4 linked regions of the Macaca fascicularis genome follow. The protein of the gene in region 3 interacts with the protein of the main gene of each other region in a biochemical or structural test. Links are inferred from orthologs where the notes say so. Each region holds a gene or a part of one and is shown on either strand. Other genes may lie near its edges.

The links.
Region 1: the proteins of EIF2AK2 (region 3) and PRKRA form a complex in vitro, tested with the Homo sapiens proteins (3 studies listed by BioGRID and IntAct, with this or other methods). The link is inferred for Macaca fascicularis from reciprocal best matches to the Homo sapiens genes EIF2AK2 and PRKRA.
Region 2: of the proteins of EIF2AK2 (region 3) and EIF2A, one has a biochemical effect on the other in vitro, tested with the Homo sapiens proteins (4 studies listed by BioGRID, with this or other methods). The link is inferred for Macaca fascicularis from reciprocal best matches to the Homo sapiens genes EIF2AK2 and EIF2A.
Region 4: the proteins of EIF2AK2 (region 3) and TARBP2 form a complex in vitro, tested with the Homo sapiens proteins (2 studies listed by BioGRID, with this or other methods). The link is inferred for Macaca fascicularis from reciprocal best matches to the Homo sapiens genes EIF2AK2 and TARBP2.

The regions. Positions count from the first base shown.
Region 1 is NC_088386.1:74,014,120-74,018,905, forward strand, and holds part of PRKRA (interferon-inducible double-stranded RNA-dependent protein kinase activator A), read right to left. Parts: intron 4,213-4,786; exon of another isoform or gene 4,103-4,212; intron 3,167-4,102; coding exon 3,088-3,166; intron 2,079-3,087; coding exon 1,961-2,078; intron 416-1,960; coding exon 321-415; intron 1-320. UniProt on the Homo sapiens protein: Activates EIF2AK2/PKR in the absence of double-stranded RNA (dsRNA), leading to phosphorylation of EIF2S1/EFI2-alpha and inhibition of translation and induction of apoptosis.
Region 2 is NC_088376.1:53,385,858-53,391,154, forward strand, and holds the start of EIF2A (eukaryotic translation initiation factor 2A), read left to right. Parts: upstream 1-1,915; 5' UTR 1,916-1,944; coding exon 1,945-1,972; intron 1,973-5,297. Other genes in the region: SERP1 (stress-associated endoplasmic reticulum protein 1), read right to left, coding at 837-912, 1,179-1,262. UniProt on the Homo sapiens protein: Functions in the early steps of protein synthesis of a small number of specific mRNAs. Acts by directing the binding of methionyl-tRNAi to 40S ribosomal subunits.
Region 3 is NC_088387.1:85,033,326-85,038,111, reverse strand, and holds part of EIF2AK2 (interferon-induced, double-stranded RNA-activated protein kinase), read right to left. Parts: intron 4,197-4,786; 5' UTR 4,184-4,196; coding exon 4,065-4,183; intron 3,720-4,064; coding exon 3,599-3,719; intron 1-3,598.
Region 4 is NC_088385.1:60,310,936-60,316,220, reverse strand, and holds the start of TARBP2 (RISC-loading complex subunit TARBP2), read right to left. Parts: upstream 3,470-5,285; 5' UTR 3,235-3,469; coding exon 3,182-3,234; intron 3,058-3,181; exon of another isoform or gene 2,935-3,057; intron 2,630-2,934; coding exon 2,460-2,629; intron 1,635-2,459; coding exon 1,532-1,634; exon of another isoform or gene 1,449-1,531; intron 967-1,448; coding exon 871-966; intron 277-870; coding exon 204-276; intron 62-203; exon of another isoform or gene 1-61. UniProt on the Homo sapiens protein: Required for formation of the RNA induced silencing complex (RISC). Component of the RISC loading complex (RLC), also known as the micro-RNA (miRNA) loading complex (miRLC), which is composed of DICER1, AGO2 and TARBP2.

The sequences.
Region 1 (4,786 bases), on a different chromosome or scaffold from region 3:
GCTGAGTGAATGAATGAACAAAGGGATGGAAATGCGCTGTCACTTTGAAGGCAAAAATGGTACTACTGGCCTATTATCTTTACATCCCATCCTATTATTCTGAATTTGACTGTGTCTCCCAAGCTCTCTTACCTAATTGCCTTTGTGATCCTGACTCACAAACAGGAAGCAGCTAAAAATGGGGTAGTGTATAACTGAATAATGAAGAGATTTCTAAAAATCACAACTCTGAAGTAGCCATACAATAAGAAATCAAGGAAAGTTTCCTACAGCAAGAAATGCTTAATGACATTAACATCATAGCTGTCAACATTACTCACTAAAGAAATGTGGTTCTCTGGAGAAATATTACTAAATTTGGCAAGAAATTTCTCAGCAGCATTCCTTTTGGCTTGCTTTTTTGATGCCCCCTTTCCTGAACAAAGAAAAAGAAATGGTAGATTTAGAAAAGAAATTAGTGTCCACAGAGGATGATCAAACTGTATAAAGTATTGTATTTAATCAGAGAACCTCATGGTTTTTATTATATGCTAGACTATGTTCTTACTGACCTGGTATCTTTGTTTGTTGTGTTATTTCTTTTGTATAGCTATTAATTCTTTTTTTTTTTTTTTTGAGATGGAGTCTTGCTCTGTCGCCCAGGCTGAAGTGCAGTGGTGCAATCTTGGCTCACTGCAACCTCCGCCTCCTGGGTTCAAGCAATTCTCCTGCTTCAGCCCCTCCAAGTAGCTGGGATTACAGGTGCCTGCCACCACACCTGGCTAATTTTTTATATTTAGCACAGACAGGGTTCTGCCATGTTGGCCAGGCTGGTCTCGAACTCCTGACCTCAGACGATCGGCCCACCTCAGCCTCCCAAAGGGCTGGGATTATAGGTGAGCCACTGTGCCTGGCCTGTATAGTTACTAATTCTTACACTTTTGAAGGCATTTGTTTTAAGTTTTTAATAGTTATGCTTTCTGTTTTTCTATAATAATTGTATTTTCCTATGTCTAGCATTACTGAACCACATTTAATTCTGACCAATTATTCATATTTATTAAAATACATCTGAATTATAACTCCTCTCTCTCAATGTCTATTTCCTGCTTGTGATCTTCTCTAAACTGACAATTATATGGAATTCCTTTAAACAGGAATAAGAAAGGCACAGGGGATGCTGGAGTTGAAAGATACCACAAATATCTATCTCCATGTTTTTGTTTTATAGATTAAAAAACTGAGGTCCAGAGAGATTAATTTGCTTAACTTTGCAAATCAAGGACTGCATCAAAAATGGAAGTTGAGGTTCTTGCTTTTGACCTGGTGCTTTCTGTAAGAGCCCACACTACCTCCCAAAGGCACACAGTTTCTTATTACTTGAAACTATTATCTAGTTAAGGTAAAATCCCATTTTAAGCCACTTTAAAAAATGACAAAAACATGCCAGAAAAGTTAACAGGAATTCTCACTAGTACTTTCTAAAGTGACAGTGTTTCTTACAGTTTATATCCTTTATAACATAGGAGTTGCTACAATTAAGAAAGATAATTTTCATTTTTATCTCACTGCAATTATTTGCCATCTAGTCTCTTATTAATCATATCGTTTTCAAGGGTAATCTTCCTCTAGTCCTATTTTCTAGATAGAATAGCTCTTAAATAAAATCCAAGAGATTTGCTATAGCTTTGTCTCCAAAATGAGTTTTTTTAAAGTCACTAATTTATCAATGAGGACTGTTTAAAGTACAAGCCAATAGTTTCTATTAATAATCTCTGATTTTTAAAAATATCAAATTAAGACTAAGTATCTTAAGCCAAATATTTATACTTAAGTTCAGCCTCAGAAAGTCAGAGACTATAAAAGAGGAGTGTATCAACTTTTCTGCATAGAAATACTGGAAAACATTATGACAGAAATTTCTATAGTCATTCATCATCTGAAAATATTTCAAATGCCTTTAATTGTAAGAAATAAGTACCAGTTTCCATAAATGACTCTAGCCTGCAAATTGTGGTATATTCTCTCTTATGAGCAGGTCCTCCCTCCTGGGAAAGGGTATATTCAGGAAGTCTCCAGCCATGATGAATAGCCAATTCCTATAAAATCAAGATGAGGCTTTAATAGTAATTTTATGCAATGGCTCAATCACATAAGTATTTTCTTAATTTTGATCCCATTTCTATGTATATGTTTGAAAAGAATAGTGATTTTCTGCAACGGAAAAAAGAGGGAAGACCCTCTATTTCTCAGAGACATTCCTGCATTTTGTATCTTTATATCCCAATACCAAAACTGAATCAGTTTTCTGCTATGAATGGTGTTCTTGAATTAAACCATAGTGAGCTGGTATGAGACTTCAACTAGAAAAACAGGCTACTACCGCCCTCTTTGGGAACACCAGAGGAGACCATCTACAGGTTTCACTGCCATCAGTTCCTAAAGTCCCTCCCCTCCTAGCTATAGACTTCCAAACCCACAGCTGGCCAAGAACACATGAGTAGGGACAGCAAACAACAGACTTGGATGAGGTGGGGGACAGAAGGTGAAGAAAACTATAGAAAAGCTCATAGTGCTGGAAAAAGAGACCAAAGGACTGGCTGAATAATGGGGAGGGGAATGGCCTAACAGAGCACATGAATAGTCTGCAAGGATATTCTGCATATAGAAATTCAAAGCTGAATATGTGTGCATATGTGAGTGTGTGTAGATATAAATTTTTCTTTTTTCGGTAGAATAAGCAAATAAGCAGACTCCTTTTCTTGAGTTAGGTTCACTGATTTGATTTAGGCTCTTTATAAAGTCTTCTGTCTCAACAGAAGTAGAAAGAGATTTGTCACAAGAGTAGCAAGAACTATTCTTAAAGTATAAAACACTCTACCCATGTGCACTGAGGGCCTATTGATCTTAAATGAGAATTGTATAAGCCAAAGGCAAATACTGTATATGGAATAATTTCAAGTTAGCTCTATAAATCTAATGATCGTAAGTTGGCAAACAAAATATATCACTATCTTGTCTTTAAAATATTAATTCCTTGTGTTAGCCCCTCTGATATTACAAACTTATTATATATTTCATCAGTAGGCAAAGAACTGTACAACTTACCTGTAATGAACCAATAGGATTAAGCTGGTTCTTTGGTTGCTTGGAAGGGTCAGGCATTAAGGGATCAGGAACTGCAAAGCTAAATATTTTTTAAAAGTGTTATAAAACAAAATAATTTCCCCCAAATTATGAAATAAATGACAAGCATTTTCTAATTAACTCTCTATGTCTTTGCTCTTGTCATTCCTTCTACATGGAATGCCCTTTTCTCAGGCCTCTTCTATGGGAATCTGATCTGTCATCCAAGATATATCTCAAATGACACTTTCTCCAAGAAGCCTATCCTTTTACCCCAGTGGTTTATAATCTCTCCCTTCTTTGAAACATTATAACACACGGTTTAATCCTTTCTTGAGGAAATTGTTTTACCATAAATTATATACTCTTACAAATACATATAATTTGTCCATCCTTCACCATACCTCTCCCCTATTCAGACTATAAGCTCCTTGAGGTAGGGCCTATGTATCACTTACCTACATAAGCTTTGTGGCGTTTTGTACGTAATAGGCATGTCATAAAAAAATATTTAAAGAATACTCTGTTACAACTATGCAAAAAATAGAAGAGTAACAATGATCCAGAAAATTGAACCTGGCAATGTGAACAATACAGATTATTTATAAACATTGTTTTTTTCATCCAGAGAACTATGAAGAGAGATCTGTTTGATCTGTCATCTGCTCAGTGCTGGGATAATCCTCTAAGATTTACATGTATCCTGCATAAAATAGATGGCTTAGATGAATTTGGTTTTAGCATGTGGGGATTATGATTAGGGAAAAAGAGAACCTCTTCTAGGGAGTTGGGAATTACTAGTTACTTGGCAGGTCAGTGCTTAAAATTGAATAAGCAGCATTTCAAGGTTACTACCACCTAGGCAACTGGAGTCATTTTTCCATGACAAGTGAGGTTTAGTTATTGCCACTTCCTCAAGGTTTTTTTTTTTTCTTTTTCTCCAACTGCGAGAACTTCAAGCTTTACATAGGCTGATGAGATATGAGTATTCACTTACAATGCTGCATGCCGAAGCTACCCAAATAATTGTGATGGAGAAGTGAGAAAGTCTCTGTATTAAGTCAGGCCACTTTAGGCCTGATTACAGCTTAGTAATTCCCATTTTATCTGTCAAGAAGCACAAATATAGTAAAGTTTGTTAGCTTTTTTTGCTGACAAAGTGAAGTGCCCAGGTGCAGAAAGGACACTCTATACCCCTCATTTCTACAAGTGTACTTACTGGTTGGGTTCACCTTCAGGCTGTACAGAAACAGCATGGCCATCACCAGTGGGGGAGAACCCAATACCTGCCATGTCATTTGGCATGTCTTTTGTTTGTTTGGAGACAGAGTCTTGCTCTGTTGCCCAGGCTGGAGTGCAATGGTGCGATCTCAGCTCACTGCAACCTCTGCCTACTGGGTTCAAGGGATTCTTGTGTCTCAGCCTCCCAAGTAGCTGGGATTACAGGAGCATGCCACCACACTTGGTTAATTTTTTGTATTTTTAGTAGAGATGGAGTTTCACCATGTTGGCCAGGCTGGTCTCGAACACCTGACTCAAGTGATCTGCCCATCTTGGCCTTCCAAAGTGCCAGGATTACAGATGTGAGACACCACGCCTGGCCTTTTCTTTGAGACTGGGTTTCACATGCTAGAGTTCAGTGGCGCAATCTCGGCTTACTGCAATCTCTGCCTCCCAGGTT
Region 2 (5,297 bases), on a different chromosome or scaffold from region 3:
TTTCCTCATTCTCACAAAGCTGAAATTCAATAATCTTCAGGTTATATAAACTGCTTGGCTCTCAGCCATTTATCAGGAAAGTTTCCAATTGGTAAGTGCAAAAGAAAGGCAAAGTGAAACGTTAAACAGAAATCTCAGTAACTTTAGAAAGTGGAAAACCAACATCTACTTCAATATTAACAGCTTGCATATTAAGATGATAAACGAAGAGAGGAAAGACCTTTTTTTTGTAATCTATTTGCAAAGGCAAGTGTCTGTTACTCTGACAGCAGGCTGCCCTGACAATTTTTTTTAAACCATATGTCAAACGTTTCTTTTATTAACCTAAAAACATTTGACTCACATTAAAATGCCAATCAGGTACATTTCCTCTACAGTGAATCAATTCTTTGCACAAGCTTTACTTCATAAAATATACTCAATTTTGACATTAAGATATTAAATTCTGGTATATGTTAAATCAAGTGCTAACATCTGTATGTACATATTTATAAGTTCCTTTGCAAAGGCTGATAATGAAGCTAAAAAACATTCTAAATTATCATTCCGTTAGGTTTTGTCCGGTCGTACATTTATTCCAACTCGATCATTACCAAGACTTGACCTCCTTTCTGATCTCCTGTGAGTACAAATTAAGCTAGGAGAAGTTTCTGGAGCACTACCCTCTGTGCATATGTGGAACAAGTAATTTGGTTCAGATGAAACAGAATTATGTGGAGTCCTCGGCAGGTGGGTTGAGAACTACGCAGGTAGGACCCACTACTGACCGGTCACCACGTCATCCCAAACCCTTTCAACCCAAGACTCTACCTGATGGGAGCCCGCAAGACACTTACCAGAGCCACAGACAACAAAAATGAAGAGAGCCAATAACCAGGGTCCTACAGACGCCTTCTCTTCGGGGGCATTTCTCTGCAAAAGCGAAAATCCACCATTTCAGATGCAGACAAACCACTCGGACCCCAGGCTCCCACAGCCCCGGTGGCCGGTCCCCTCACCCACAGGTCTCCCCTTCGGTTCCCGAGCCCCTACAGTCTGGCGGCTCGCAGACTCGGGCCCCTACCCCTCCACAGCACAGCCCACAGTCGGCCGGATCCGGGAGAAAACGCGACGCGGCCCCAGGGACCCCGACTGTGCCCCGGCTGCGGAACGCAGAGGGGCGACCGCTCTTTCCTTACCGAGGTCTTGGCGACGTTGCCGCGCTGGGTGATGTTCTTGCTGTGCTTCTCGTTGGCCATACGGATCCTCTGCTTGGCGACCATCTTCGCGGCGCCACCACCTGCCCCGGCCACCCCTCGGACTCGCTCGCTCGCCTGCCTCCTCTCGAGCCGCTGCGAGGCTCGGCTCGTGGTGCCCGCGCCGCCGGAGCGCCGAGGTTCTCAGGCCAGGCGCTGGCTACGGCCGCTGGGCCTGGGCGCGGCAAGCGCGGGGACTGAGCACAAGCCGGGCGCCGGTCGCCGACTGACTGGCCAAGCCTGGCGGGTGCACGGGAGGAAGATAACTGGCCGCCGGGTCGTTCTCGCACCGCAGTCGCCGCCGCTTTGGCCGCCGCCGGGAGCGCGGAGTGAAAGAGGAAGGAAACGCAACGCAACAACGGGAATGTGCAGCCCGCCGCCTCGATCTACTTTGGGTTCGGCTGCCAACGTCAGCACTAGGTGGGCTCCGCCCCGCGGAAGTGCGCGCCCCTCCTGCTAGAGAAGGAGGGCGAAAGCAGACGCACCCACCCCAGTCCAGCCCTCCCAAGCTCGGTCAAGCGTCGCCCCAGATCTGTGCTTGCGCGTTCGGGCGCCTCTTCCGCGTCACTCCGCAACCGGAAGTGAATTGGCCCCGAGGCTGATGGCTCCGGAAACACCAGCTCGCTGTTTCCACGCAGGAGGAGACGTGTAGGGGCCGGGTTCGGCCCTCGTGAACTCTCACCCGAGCGGTTTCTTTTTCCGGGACAACATGGCGCCGTCCACGCCGCTCTTGACAGGTGAGTTCTGAAGAAGCAAGGGACTCTCTTTCTTCAGACTAGTTTCTTATTTTTGTCTTTGTCTTTGAGAACTACCCGAGGAGCCCGAAAAGTCTGATCTGCCTTTTCTTGTGGCTTGCGGAAAGGCCAGACTATCTCTTGGCTTTCTTGATATAGCGTGGCAGTCGGAAGTGAAGTCTCCGCCTCTGGGCTTTCGTATTCCCCCTCCCTTTCACTGATCCATCATTCTTGCCTGCGGATTCATCTTCTACAGGAATAGAAGAAGGGGGAGAAAAACAGAATGTGCTAGTTGAATTTGTGACACTTGGGTCTGCAATACTGGTGTTACACGGGCCCTTGTGAAGTCATTTAGCTCTACAGTAAGGACAAAGACAAACAGAGTTAGTCCACTAGAATGACCACGCACATTAAATACACCTGGACTTAAGTAATTCCAAATTCTGGCCTGCCTTCCTTAATGGGGTTTGTAGTACTGAATAGGGAGAGTGGAGCTGTAATGCAGATTTCAAATGATGAAGGTGGGGTTGGAAGAGGATATAGCAGTGAGCATGATAGAGATATTCTAGCAACATTTTATTTTGAAATGGTTATGAGCATATTAAAAGTAGAACATTAGAGGACTTTTGAAATTTTGAAGCTGAAGACAGAGTGTGTAGTGTTGAAGAAGATAATAAACTTAGATTGGACAATGCTGGGGAAGTTGCTTTACTAGGTTGTGGCTAGGAGTATTTGCATGTGAGTATTATGTAAGGGAAAGAATTGGGAAGGAAAAGAAGGCTTTGGTTAAGTTCTGGTAACTATACAGAAGGAAAAAAGTCATTAAGAGAAACGTCTGCATTTGAGGAGGAAGGCCATTTCCTCCCTTTTCCCCCATCCCCTGAAAGGAACCTTAAGGGCCGGGCGCAGTGGCTCACGCCTGTAATCCCAGCACTTTGGGAGGCGGAGGTGGGCAGATCACGAGGTCAGGAGATCGAGACCACCCTCGCTAACATGGTGAAACTCCGTCTCTACTAAAAATACAAAAAAATTTAGCCGGACGTGGTGGCGGGCGCTTGTAATCCCAGCTACTTGGGAGGCTGAGGCAGGAGAATTGCTTGAACCCGGGAGGCGGAGGTTGCAATGAGCCAAGATCGCGCCACTGCATTCCAGCCTGGGCGACAGAGCGAGACTGTCTCAAAAAAAGAAAGAAAGAAAGAAACCTTAAAACATTTTTGCACTTTTTGCCAGTCTACGTTTCTATTTCTACATTTTAAAATCTTTATTATTAAGCACCATGCCCACTGATAGTCTGTCTTCTACAGTTTAGTCATCATTTATCAAACGCTGGCTATAATGTGCTAGGTAATATGCTAGGCAGAGACTGTTGGGCAAAGTTACATAATAAATTTTTTTTAGGTTCGTAAAGGTAGCTTGTTATTCACAATTTTTAATACTAAATTCTTATTTGAACTCTAATGAAAACAATACGACATTTAAAAATCTGATAAATAACCTCTCCTTTAAAAATGCCTACAGTAGTTAGTTCCTCACTGCTTACAGGGTAAATTCCATCCCACGTAGCATAGGGTATGTAACCATTTATAATCCTTGAATTGCTCTTGAGACTCATTTATTTCCTTGCTATCCCATCCTATTTTGTACTCCATCAATACTGAACTGCTTGTGAGTACCTTTGAACAACCTGTTTCTTCAGTCTAGTACTATCCTATGCCTCTAGTTGATTTGGCAAACTCTTTATCATCTGTTGAAATTAAAATTCATTTTAGATATCATTGCTCTGTGAAGCCTTTCCTCACGCTACCCAGATAGAGTCAGTCACTTCCTGGGCTATTTTTGTACCTTAAGTATATTTGAAATTTTGTTTCACTTACTAAGTAGGATAATTAGACATTCACTTGCCTTTCTCCCCTGCTAGACTGTGAGTCCTTCAATGTCAGGGACAGGGTCTTATTCATATCTGTCTTCTCAGTACTAGTGCAGTGCCTGGTAGACAATAGATACTTTAAATCAGGGGTCCCCAACCCCCCGGGGCCAGATTGGTACCGGGCGAACATTACCACTTGAGCTCCCCCTCCTGTCGGATCAGTGGGGGCATTAGAGCCTCATAAGAGCGCAAACCGTATTGTGAACTGTGCATACAAGAGATCTAGGTTAGATTTATCTGTTTAGACTATCCTTCTAAATGAAGGATAGCCACTTTATAGTAAATTAACCAAGGATGACAATTGTCTTACAGTGTTTAAAATGAGGGAATTTGTAAGAGCTTAAATGTTGTCTGTTCAGTGTACTCTTCGTATTCTCATATTCTTAGAGGCCCAGAGAGATTAAGTGGTCAGATTCATGCTGCAGATTGGCAGGATTAGGATCATACTTATTCAGATTGCTCAACTCTGTGGTCCATTTTTCTTTCACAAGAACAAACTGTTTAATCTTTTAAGCATTTTCAATGTACATATTTCATTCAACAGTAGATTATTTTACTTCCAAGATCTTTTGTTAAATTTAGACTCATGGGATTTTAGAGCTATGAATAGCTTGCAGATTAGCCAGTAAATTTTGTTAACCCCAACTCTTAATTGGGAATGACAAGCCAAAGCAGGTGAAAAAGGAATTTTTTTTTAAACTCATATAACCTAAAAGCCTCACTGCTGCTAGATCCAGATACTCACATGCTTCAGAAATCTGTTTTTCTTTCTTTCTTTCTTTCTTTTCTTTTCTTTTCTTTTGTTTTCTTTTCTTTTCTTTTCTTTTCTTTTCTTTTCTTTTCTTTTTTTTTTTTGAGACAGAGTTTCACTTTTGTTGCCCAGGCTGGAGTGCAATGGCGTGATCTTGGCTCACTGCAACCTCCACCTCCCAAGTTCAAGCGATTCTTGTGCCTCAGCCTCCCGAGTAGCTGGGATTACAGGCATGCACCACAACACCCAGCTAATTTTGTATTTTTGGTAGAGATGGGGTTTCACTGTGTTGGTCAGGTTGGTCTTGAACCCCTGCCCTCAGGTAATCCACCGGCCTCTGCCTCCCAAAGTGCTGGGATTACAGGCGTGAGCTACCACGCCCGTCCAGAAATCTGTTTTTCTTCATCTCTAGGCTCTTGCTTTCCTCCAGATTAAATTCATCTTTAAACTGACATTCAACCAAACACCCAGCTCCAAAGGAAAGAACACATTTTTGCCAGTAGTCTCAGCGAAAATCTCAAGGCTAACTGCCTTTGACTTTGCTTGGCTCATCTTTGTATCAGTCAACTTTTAATCATGTAGTCAGGACTAAATTATATTCTCACTCCTGGATACTCCTCAAAAGAAAATGAGAGCCTCCTAAAGAAGAG
Region 3 (4,786 bases):
TCTCAAAAATAAAAAATAAAAGAGAAAAAAAGAATCAATGTTGGTCTGGGTGTTTCTAAATTTTCCTGTATCTATTAAGTTGTTTTAATCTGTAGCCAAGTCTTTATTTCATAAACATTTTCTGCTGAAATCTCTTCAGATCATTTTCTTCTGTACTATTTACTCTGTTCTTATTTTCAGGGACACCAGTCACATGTATATTGGTTCTCCATTATCTGCTCTCTGTAAACACTTGGCTCTCTATATCCACGGGTTCCAAATCCCTGGATTCACCAATCACAATCAAAAATATTTGAAAAAAATTGCTGGTTGCATCTGTACTAAACATATTCAGTTTTTTTCCTTGTCATTATTCCCTAAACAATACAGCATAACAACTACTTATAGCTGGCTGTGGTGGCTCACACCTGCGATCCTAGCACTTTGGGAGGCTGAGGTGGGCGGATCGCTTGAGCTCAGGAGTTCAAGACCAGCCTGGACAACATAGTGAGATTCCATCTCTACAAAAAATACAAAAATTGGCCAGGTGTGGTGGCTCGTGCCTGTAGTCCGAGTCAGTTGGGATGCTGAGGTGGGAGGATCACCTGAGCCTGGGGAGACTGAGGCTGCAGTGAGCCTTGATCATGCCACTGCACTCCAGCCTGGGTGATAGTAAGACCCTGTCTCAAAAAACAACAACAACAAAAAACTATTTACATAGCATTTACATTGTATTAGAGATATTATAAGTAATCTAGAGATGATCTAAAGGATAATCATGTACTGCATAATGACATTTTGGTCAACAATGGACTGCATATATGACAGTGGTCCCGTAAGATTATAATGGAGCTAAAAAATTACTGTCATCTAGTGAGGTCATAGCCACTATAATGGCTAATTTTTTGTATTTTTAGTACAGACAGGGTTTCGCCATATTGCCCAGGCCAATCTCAAACTCCTGGGTTACAGCACCATGCATTACTCACATGTTTGCAGTGACACTGCTCTAAACAAATCTACTGTGCTACAGTCTTATAAAAAAGTCTGGCACATACAATTATGTACAGTACATAATACTGGATAATAATAAGTAACTGTTACTGGTTTATATATTTATTATACTTTTTAATCATTATTTTAGAAGGCACTCTTTCTACTTAAAAAAAAAAAAAAAGTAAACTGTAAAACAGTCTCAGGCAGGTCCTTCGGTAGGTAATCCAAAAGAAGGAATTGCTACAATAGGAAAGAATAGCTCCATGTATGTTTTTGCTCCTGAACACTTTCCAGAGGGACAAAATGTGGAGGTGGAAGACAGTGACGCTGATGATCCTGATGCTGTGTAGGCAGGCTGGTGTGTGTGTGTGTGTTGTAATTTTTTTCTTTCTTTTTTTTTGAGACAGGGTCTTGCTCTGTTGCCCAGGCTGGAGTGTAGTCACAAGATCACAGCTCACTGCAGCCATGACATGTCAGGCACATGATCCTCCTGCCTCGGCTTCCTGAGTAGCTGGAACTACAGGCACGTGCCACCAAGCCTGGCTAGTGTTTTGTATTTTTAGTACAGAGAGGGTTTCACCATGTTGCCTAGGCTAATCCCAAACTCCCAAATTCAAGTGATCCACCTACCTTGACTACCAAAGTGCTGGGATTACAGGCATGAACCACCATGCCCAGCATTTTTTTTTTTTTTTTTTGAGACAGGGTCTCATTCTGTCACCCAGGCTGGAGTACAGTGGCATAATCATGGCTCCTCGACATCCCAGGCATGAAACACTGTGCCCAATCATGTTTTAATTTTTTAACAACAAAGTTTAAAAGTTAAAAAAAAAAAGAAGTTTAAAATTCTAAAAATAGAAAAAAGCTTATAGAATAAAGATGTAACAAAACAAAATATTTTTGTACAGCCATACTATGTGTTTTTGTTTTCGTTTTTGTTTTGTTTTGTTTTTTTGAGATGGAGTCTTGCCCTGTTGCCCAGGCTGGAATGCAGTGGCATGATCTCGGCTCACTGCAACCTCCGCCTCCTGAGTTCAAGCAATTCTCCTGCTTCAGCCTCCCAAGTAGCTGGGATTACAGGCGACCCCCACTACACCTGGCTAATTTTTGTATTTTTAGTAGAGACAGGGTTTCACCGTGTTGGCCAGGCTGGTCTCAAACTCCTGACCTCAGGTGATCTACCCGCCTCGGCTTCCCAAAGTGCTGGGATTACAGGCATGAGCCACTGCGCCTGGCTGCGTTTGTGTTTTAAGCTAAGTGTTATTAGGAAAGAGTCAAAATGTTAAAAATAAGAAGTTTATAAAGTAAAAGAGTTACCGTAAGCTAAGGTTAATTTATTATTGAAGAAAAAAATTTTTAATAAAATGAATGTAGCTTATGTATACAGTGTTTATAAAGTCTACAGTGGTATACAATAATGCCCTAGGCCTTCACATTCACTCACCACCCACTCACTGACTCACTCAGAGCAACTTCCAGTCCTGCAAGCTCTATTTATGCATGGTATGTGCCCTATATGGGTGTACTTTTGTCTTTTTTTTTTTCTTTTTGAGACAGGGTCCCCAGGCTGGAGTGCAATGGCACGACCTCAGGCTCGCTGCAACCTCTGTTTCCCGGGTTCAAGCAATTCTCCTGCCTCAGCCTCCCAAGTAGCTGGGATTACAGGTGCCCGCCACCACGCCCAGCTAATTTTTTGTATTTTTAGTAGAGATAGGGTTTCACCATGTTGGCCAGGCTGGTTTTCAACTCCTGACCTCAGGTGATCCACCTGCCTCAGCCTCCCAAAATGCTAGGATGACAGGTGTGAGCCACCGCGCCCAGCCTTTTGTCTTTTATACTGTATTTTTACTGTACTTTTTCTATATTTAGATATGTTTAGATACATGAATACTAAATTGTGTTACGATTGGCTACAGTTTTCAGTATAATAACATGCTGTACAGGTGTGTAGTCTAGGAGTAATAGGCTATACTACATAGCCTAGGTGCGTAGTGGTTGCTCCATTTAGGATTGTGTAAGTACTTCTGTGTTGTTTGCCCAATGAGAAAATTGCCTAAGAATGCATTTCTTACAATGTATTCTCCTTGTTAAGCAACGCATAACTGTATATGGGAAGATGCAAATAGGTTATATGCAAATACTATGCCATTTTATATAAAAGACTTGAGCATCAGTGGATTTTGGCATCCACAGGGAGTCCTGGTACCAATTCCCCACAGACAGTGAGTGACCGCTGTACATCATTCTCCCTATAATCACTTTCATCTCTTTTTCCTCTTTTACTGCACTTCCTCAATTAGATGGAGGGGACTCATCCCAGAACCTGTCAGCTCATTTCCCACTGAACACTTCTCATCTTTCCATATTTGTTCAATTTTAGAGTATTTAACTGCTGCTGACACTCTGAATAACTATTCTCCAGCTTTGCCCACGGCGTCCTGGGTGTGCAGCTCTCACTCAGGGTTTCATAGAAATGAAGATGGGGGGAATGACTGAACCAAACTCTTGAATGTAAGGTAACGTGTGAATGGCTTTACTCTGTATGGAAGTATTTTCTCACAGAGAGAAATAGAAAATGCATTTGCAAGTTCCCATTTACTAGGAAAAAAAGGCAATCACTCACCTCGCTTTCCTTATTAAGTATATCAACAGCTAATTTGGCTGCAGCATTTTTTGCTTCCTTCTTTGATCTACCTTCAGCTTCTGGAAATGTTCTTCTATCTGTTACAACTTGAAATGTAAACCTGATTACAAAAAGAATATTCATAAAATATTATACAACTCATGCACTATCTAAAAACAAGTGCTCTAGTTACCACTACCTCCTATGACTACCTTTGAGGGTTTGAACGTACATTCAACATAGAATGGAAGCAGTCACCCCAAGCAGTAAAACAGCATGTCTTGTTGAAGTGTGGAAAGGTTTCTACCCTCTCTTCTCTCTGGAATCATCTGTGGCTCCAAAGTGGTTACCGCTTTACGCCAAGCGGACTCTCACAAAACAAAAGTGTTGACCTCAAAGTTGTGCCAGAGTTGCCATTCCCCCAGTTTACATTTATAAGATCATATCATTGTTTATAGCAACTTACCTCCTATCATGTGGAGGTCCTGTATTAGGCAGTTCTTGATAGCTCAATGATATTCCCTGCTTCTGACGGTATTTATTAAGTTCCTCCATGTAGAAACCTGGTACAAGATGACCAGCCATTTCTTCCAGTATCCTACAATGGAAGAGACATTTGAATGAGTGATGCTAACAGAACATATTTAACCTGAGTTTCCCAGTGCAGTTTAGGAGACAGAGGGGTTGGGGAGACTCTCCTTTATAGGACTCATCTCAGTCCCACATAAATGCAGAGACTTTCTTTCAAAACTGTTCTTTCTTTCTCACTCACTGCACAATAAAGTTAATTTCTCCAAATTTTCTACTTTGAAAACTCAACTTGGCCAGGGGTGGTGGCTCACACCTATAAAATCCCAGCATTTTGGGAGGCCAAGGCGGGCGGATCACCTGAGCTCAGGAGTTCAACACCAGCCTGGGCAACACGGCAAAACCCCGTGTCAATTTCAGAATTGTTTTAAAAAATAAAGGAAAGAAAAAAAAACTCAGCTGGTCAGTGAAAGGGGGTCCTTCTCTTTAACTCTGCCCTGTGCTTCCACTTAGTATCAACTACATGTTTGTCTACCTGCTTAAAGAAGTAAAAAGGCTGCAGGAGTGTAGAATGTTTTATGTTTAGAAGAAAAAAGTTTAGAGTATATGTAATAAGTAAAGTGGAGTGGTAGCACGGGGACAGGCTGGGAAACGGGTGGG
Region 4 (5,285 bases), on a different chromosome or scaffold from region 3:
GAGGCTGAGTGAAAAAAGGCTTCTCACACCCACGCTGGTCCCCACGCAGGAGCCTCAGACTCTAGGTGAGAGGAAGGAGAGAGGGGGGTGGAAAGGGCCTCAGTACAGGGAACCGCCCCCACCCCCAAACACACATAACCTTCCCTCATGGCCCCTGACTCAAAGGAAGACAGGCATGCATGCGAAATGAGGATGGAGCACACCTGCAGAGCACCAACAGGATTGCACTCAGACTGCTGAGGGGAGACAGGGGGCTGCAGTTCCATGGGGGGGCTCCTGAAGGAAAAAGGGCACAGGGCCAAAGTTGAGGTGAAGGGTTCCATCTGAGCCTGCCCATGAGCTCCAAGCCTAACCACTACTTTAGATTCCTGACTACCATCTCCTGATTCCCACCGGGCAGGCAGCTGTCTGTTCACACATCGAGCCTGCTCCCTCCTGCTCTAGCCGGCTTCCTTCCCCCTCCCACTCAAGGGAGGCCTTCTCCAGGCCCCAGCCCATTTCCAATCTGGAACACTTGTGTATCATCCAAGCCAGGACAGTGGGAGAAGAGCTGTATTTCCAGTCCCAGAAGTGCCTGATGGGCCTCAAACACAGAACTGACATGTGGTCAACCCAGAAGAAAATGGGGCCTGCGAGACCCTTAAATATGGTCGAACATCATCCATAAGGCTATCTGAAAATCACAAATGACCTTCTGTCCCAAGAGCTTACCCCAGCTGCTGTGATTTCTTCAAGTTCTGGTTCCCAACTATTCCATTCTGTTTATTCTCAGACTTCCTCATGCCTGACCAGCCTGGGTCCAAAGACTGAGGAGCCAAAAACCAGAACCCCTTCCTCCACCCACCTCAGGCAGTCAGGGAACACAGATACCTGGTTAGGACAACAGATGGAACTGGGGTAGCAGCTGCTGCAGCAGTAAAAATCGGAATGTCCTCAGGCAGTGAAGAGTCTAGGGGAGAAAAAGAACTTCCCGAGGGGAAGGGGGCCTTTGATTCACACCCATGTATAGGGGGAAGAGAGGGGTGGGGGACCCACGTCCTCCTGACCTCCCGATCCCCTAAGAGAACTTCCAAATTGAGCCAAAGAATCAGGGAGGCTCAACCAACAGCTTCCTCCTGGGATCCTTTGCCGCCAAACACCGGCAAAAAGACAGAAAAGAGGGTCTCTTTGTACCAAAGAACCAGAGGAGCAACAAACTCCAACCTGCGCGTGAAGGAAGGACATCTTGCTAGAACAAGGAGGTATGTTGGGGAGCAACTCCCTTTAGCCTCAGCCTCCACCCCTCTCCCTCCCTAACCCAGGTCCCAATCTACTGCCACAACCCCTCTATGGGGCTAACCAACCCCTCCACCCCAAGAATTCTTCATAGCAGCAAACGCCCTGGAAGACCCTGTTCAGGTCCAGAGGGACTCTCAGGAAGAGGCCAGGTCAGGGTGGCTAAGTGTCACCTGGCCAGGCCTGGTGGCAGAGGGGGTGGTGCAGGGCCTGGGTTCCTTGAAGGGCTTCTGGGATGCCTCGGTTCCTCCCTCACCTGCTGTCCTCCAAGGCCGGCTCCAGCATGCTCCCCCCTTTGAGGTGTTTGAGGGCCACCTCAGCTGCCTTGTGCTTGGCTGCCTTCTTGCTGGGGCCCTGACCTGAGAGAGGGGGCATGGGCAATACTGGAGGTCACTGGAAGGATGGGAGAGAAACCAGCATCCCACAGCCTCTCTCCTCAGAGCCAGTGGGAATCCATCAAGCCCCTTCTGACCAACCACCCCCTGCTGAAGACTGGAAGTGTTTCACTAATTGCTAGAAGGAAGAGCCCTTATCTTTCCATTAGCTTCCAGACCAGAATTAAGCCATGCCAAGCAGGACTTCTGAGCTCAAACGCCTTGGGTGGACTTCTGAACTCAAATGCTTTAATTTCCTTTGCAAAGCACTTTCTTTTCCCTCAATAAAAACAGAGAGCTGGAATAAGAGAGGGTAGGCTCTGGAGTAAAAGCCCCACTCCGCCACACACTAGGCATGTGACCATGCACCAGCCATTTACTATCTCAAATACTCAGTTTCCTCATATTCAACATGGGCGGGCGGGGGGAGGAGTGGGGGGGGGATACTGCCACCTACATCACTGGTTAGACTGAGGTTTAAAATTAAATGGGAATTTGGTTAAGCACCGGGAACAGAGCCCAGCATGCCAGGCACTCACTCCCCCAAATACTCCACTGGGATTTCAGTTATCTTCTCTTCCTTTTCCTCTAGGGTGATGTGGCAGTCCTGATCGATCCTCTAACTCTCCCACGTCCTACCCACCTTCTCACAGCCCTGTTCTCCCAATCCAGTCAGTAGCTTTTCCCCTGAAATCTCTCCTTCCCTCACTGGCCTTGAAGAAAAGGACTGTGAAGAAAGAGACTCCAAGAAACAAAGTCATGGGGACCTGCAAATGCACACCCCAGCCAGGCTGCCCAAGCCTTCCTCACCAGTGCAGCTGGTGTCGCCAACGGTGACCCGGAAGGTGAAATTAGGCTGGTGGGCTTGGCCCTCGGCTTTGAGAAGGTCGTACACAGGCGTCTTCCCTATTCTGGTCCCATACTCCTGCAGAAGGCTGATCGGGGTCTTGCCTGGGTTGGCGGCCAGCATTTGCTCTATACTGGGGGAAGGGGCACAGACCCATATCACACCTCCCCTCTCTGCACCCACCTGGCCAAGCACTTCCATACCAGACCTAGGCACATTATGGGGGACATAGGGTCCAAGGAACCCCAGGCAGTCTAGCATCCATTGGCTGGGTTCCAAGTGTAGGTGCAGGCTGGAAGAGTAGGGCCCACTACCTCAAAGCAAGGGGGGAAGAATGCACTGCTCCTGCCTCAGTTAAGGTGGGCACGATCCTGTGCCCCATGCAGGTTGAAAGTGCATACCCCCTGACACAGTGCAAGCCAGGAACCCAGTACCCACCAAATGCACTGAATGTGGGGGCATAAAGCCCAGTGTTCCAGTGCAGTCTGGGAACCGGGCCAACCCCAAACTATTTAGAGCTGAAGGCAGCAGCCACTGCCCCGGTGCACGCCGGGAACCACTGCCCACTGCCCCAGTGCTTGCCGGGAACAACCCTCAGGCCAGGTGCATGCTGGGGCCGCGCCGCTACTCCCTCCGCACGGCCCCACGCTTTTTGCCCAGAAGGAATCGGTACGAGGCGGCTCACCTAGGCAGCCCGCAGCCCGTGGTAATGCCGGAGCCTTGCTCCTCTTCACTCATTCCCTCCTCCGTCCCCGCGGGCGCCACCGTGAGTGCAGCCTCCACGCGCCCCAATACACCGCCGACGAGCTAGGGCCGGGGCCAAGCCCGGAGTCGCGGCCGGTAGGGCCCGCCGAGGGGCACGCTGGGATATGGAGTCCCCCGCCCACCCTACTTCATGAGCCTCCATCTGGAGGGGAGCTATCCGCCCCACAACCCTCCGCGTGGCTCGCCCGGGCCGGCTGCACCGCCTTCTGGGAGGAGCGGGCTCTCCGCAGTCGCTTCTCGAGAAGGCTGTATTTTTTTGTTTGTAATACCGTCCCGCCTCCTTCCTTCCGCGCCCCCTCTCTCCCGGGCCGTGAGGCTGTGGACATGCGTACTAGCGGAGGGGAAGCCGCTGGGTAGCGGGGCGGTAAGGACTCACTTGGGCACGGAGCCTTTTGGATCCCGAGAAAACTACAGAACCCAGGAGCCCGCGCGCCATCTTTGCCGCAGCTGGAGGGGCAGGGTCAAGCACGCACGAGAAGCTTCATGTTGTCATTGGTTACTCCCATTGCGTTTACTTCCTCTAGGCACATTGGAATTGGTTACTTCGACCAAAGGGGCGGGGACAAGGAAAAATCAGCCCCCTGACCCCGCCTCCTTGGTGAAGGAAGGTTGTGATTGGTCCGGAGAGGTTGCTGTCGGATCCGGGCTCTTTGAGGTCTGAGAGGGTGGGCTTTACCTAGACGCCGGAGGGGACCGATGTCTGTCTACGCAGGGCTCTGGAGCTGGTGCAGATCCAAGTCAGTCTCAGACAGTCCCCTCAACCCACAGCCTAAGCCCCTGGCCCTTGGGCCTCCGTGACACAGAACTTGCTTCCTCTTCCTAGGTTGTCCTTCACCTCCTTCAGGTTTTGCTTCTTTTGTAAAACCTTTTTAGAACGGCTCTAGTGAACCTCTCTAACTGGCAAGGAAATCTCTGGGGCCTGATAATCAGGCTGTGGTGTGGGGCGACAGGATTAGAAGGACTAGGCACCTGGTGGTCTCGTTCCCTCTGCCATGAGTCTTGGGTCTCTCAGCTGAAGAAAGCAAGAGTGAATTTTGGCCGCCTAAGACTAATCAACTGATCTGGGTGTTGAGCAGACGCAAATTTTTTAGTCCTAGAGCCCCATTGCCTCCTCCCCCAAAGTCGCACAACCACTGGGCTAAGGGAAATCTTGTGACCTTGGAGAAAGGGAGATATCACATTTTTAAAAAATAAATAAATAAATAAAGGTTCTAATGAGTGTTCTGAGAAGGGGTCAAGAAAGAGATGTCTTACTCTGAGGCGGGGCTGGAGGTCCAGAGGAATCTTTAAATGATAATGAGGGGTCATCCAGGAACACTGGAGGAGGATGGGGCCTAGAGTCGAGTGAATTCCAAGTGGGTGAAATTAGAGTGAGCGGTGACAATCAAGGGAAGGAGAGCTGGCAAGATCAGTATGATAGGGGGAGCAATGCCAGAGCGCTAGGGATCCCAACTGAGGGGCTGCTCTCTCCGATGTAGAAAGGAGTCTATAAGACGAGTCATAGGGGGTTCCTGTGGAATCAGCCTAAGGCCTGAGGTGGGACCTCCATAGGACACCGCCAGCAGGGAAGCGCGGGGCCCAGGCGGGCCAGGGACGAGAGTGGAGCGCGCCGGATGGCAGCAGCGGGCTCCTTTAAGAGGCCGGCGGCTCCATCGCAGCATCCCCCGCTCAGGGCGTGTCCGTCCCGGGGGGCCAGGGGCGGGGGCCCTGGAAGGAGCGGGAGTTCAAGCCGAGCAGGGACGGGGCTAGGGGTCGGGGGGTGGGGGCAGCAAGCTGAAGCTGACACCCGTGCATCCGGACACCGCACGAGCATCGCCTGTGACAGCGCCCCGGGTCCGGTGGAGGGCAGCGGGGGGAGGAGGGAAGGAGGAGGAGAAGGAGGAGGAGGCGGGAGCAGCATCCGGAGCGGAGCTGCAGCAGCGCCGCCTTTTGTGCTGCGGCCGCGGAGCCCCCGAGGTGAGAGCCTGGCCGAGTTGTGGGGGGGTGGGGGGCAGGGATGGGTCCGGGTCCTGGGATCCGGGCGT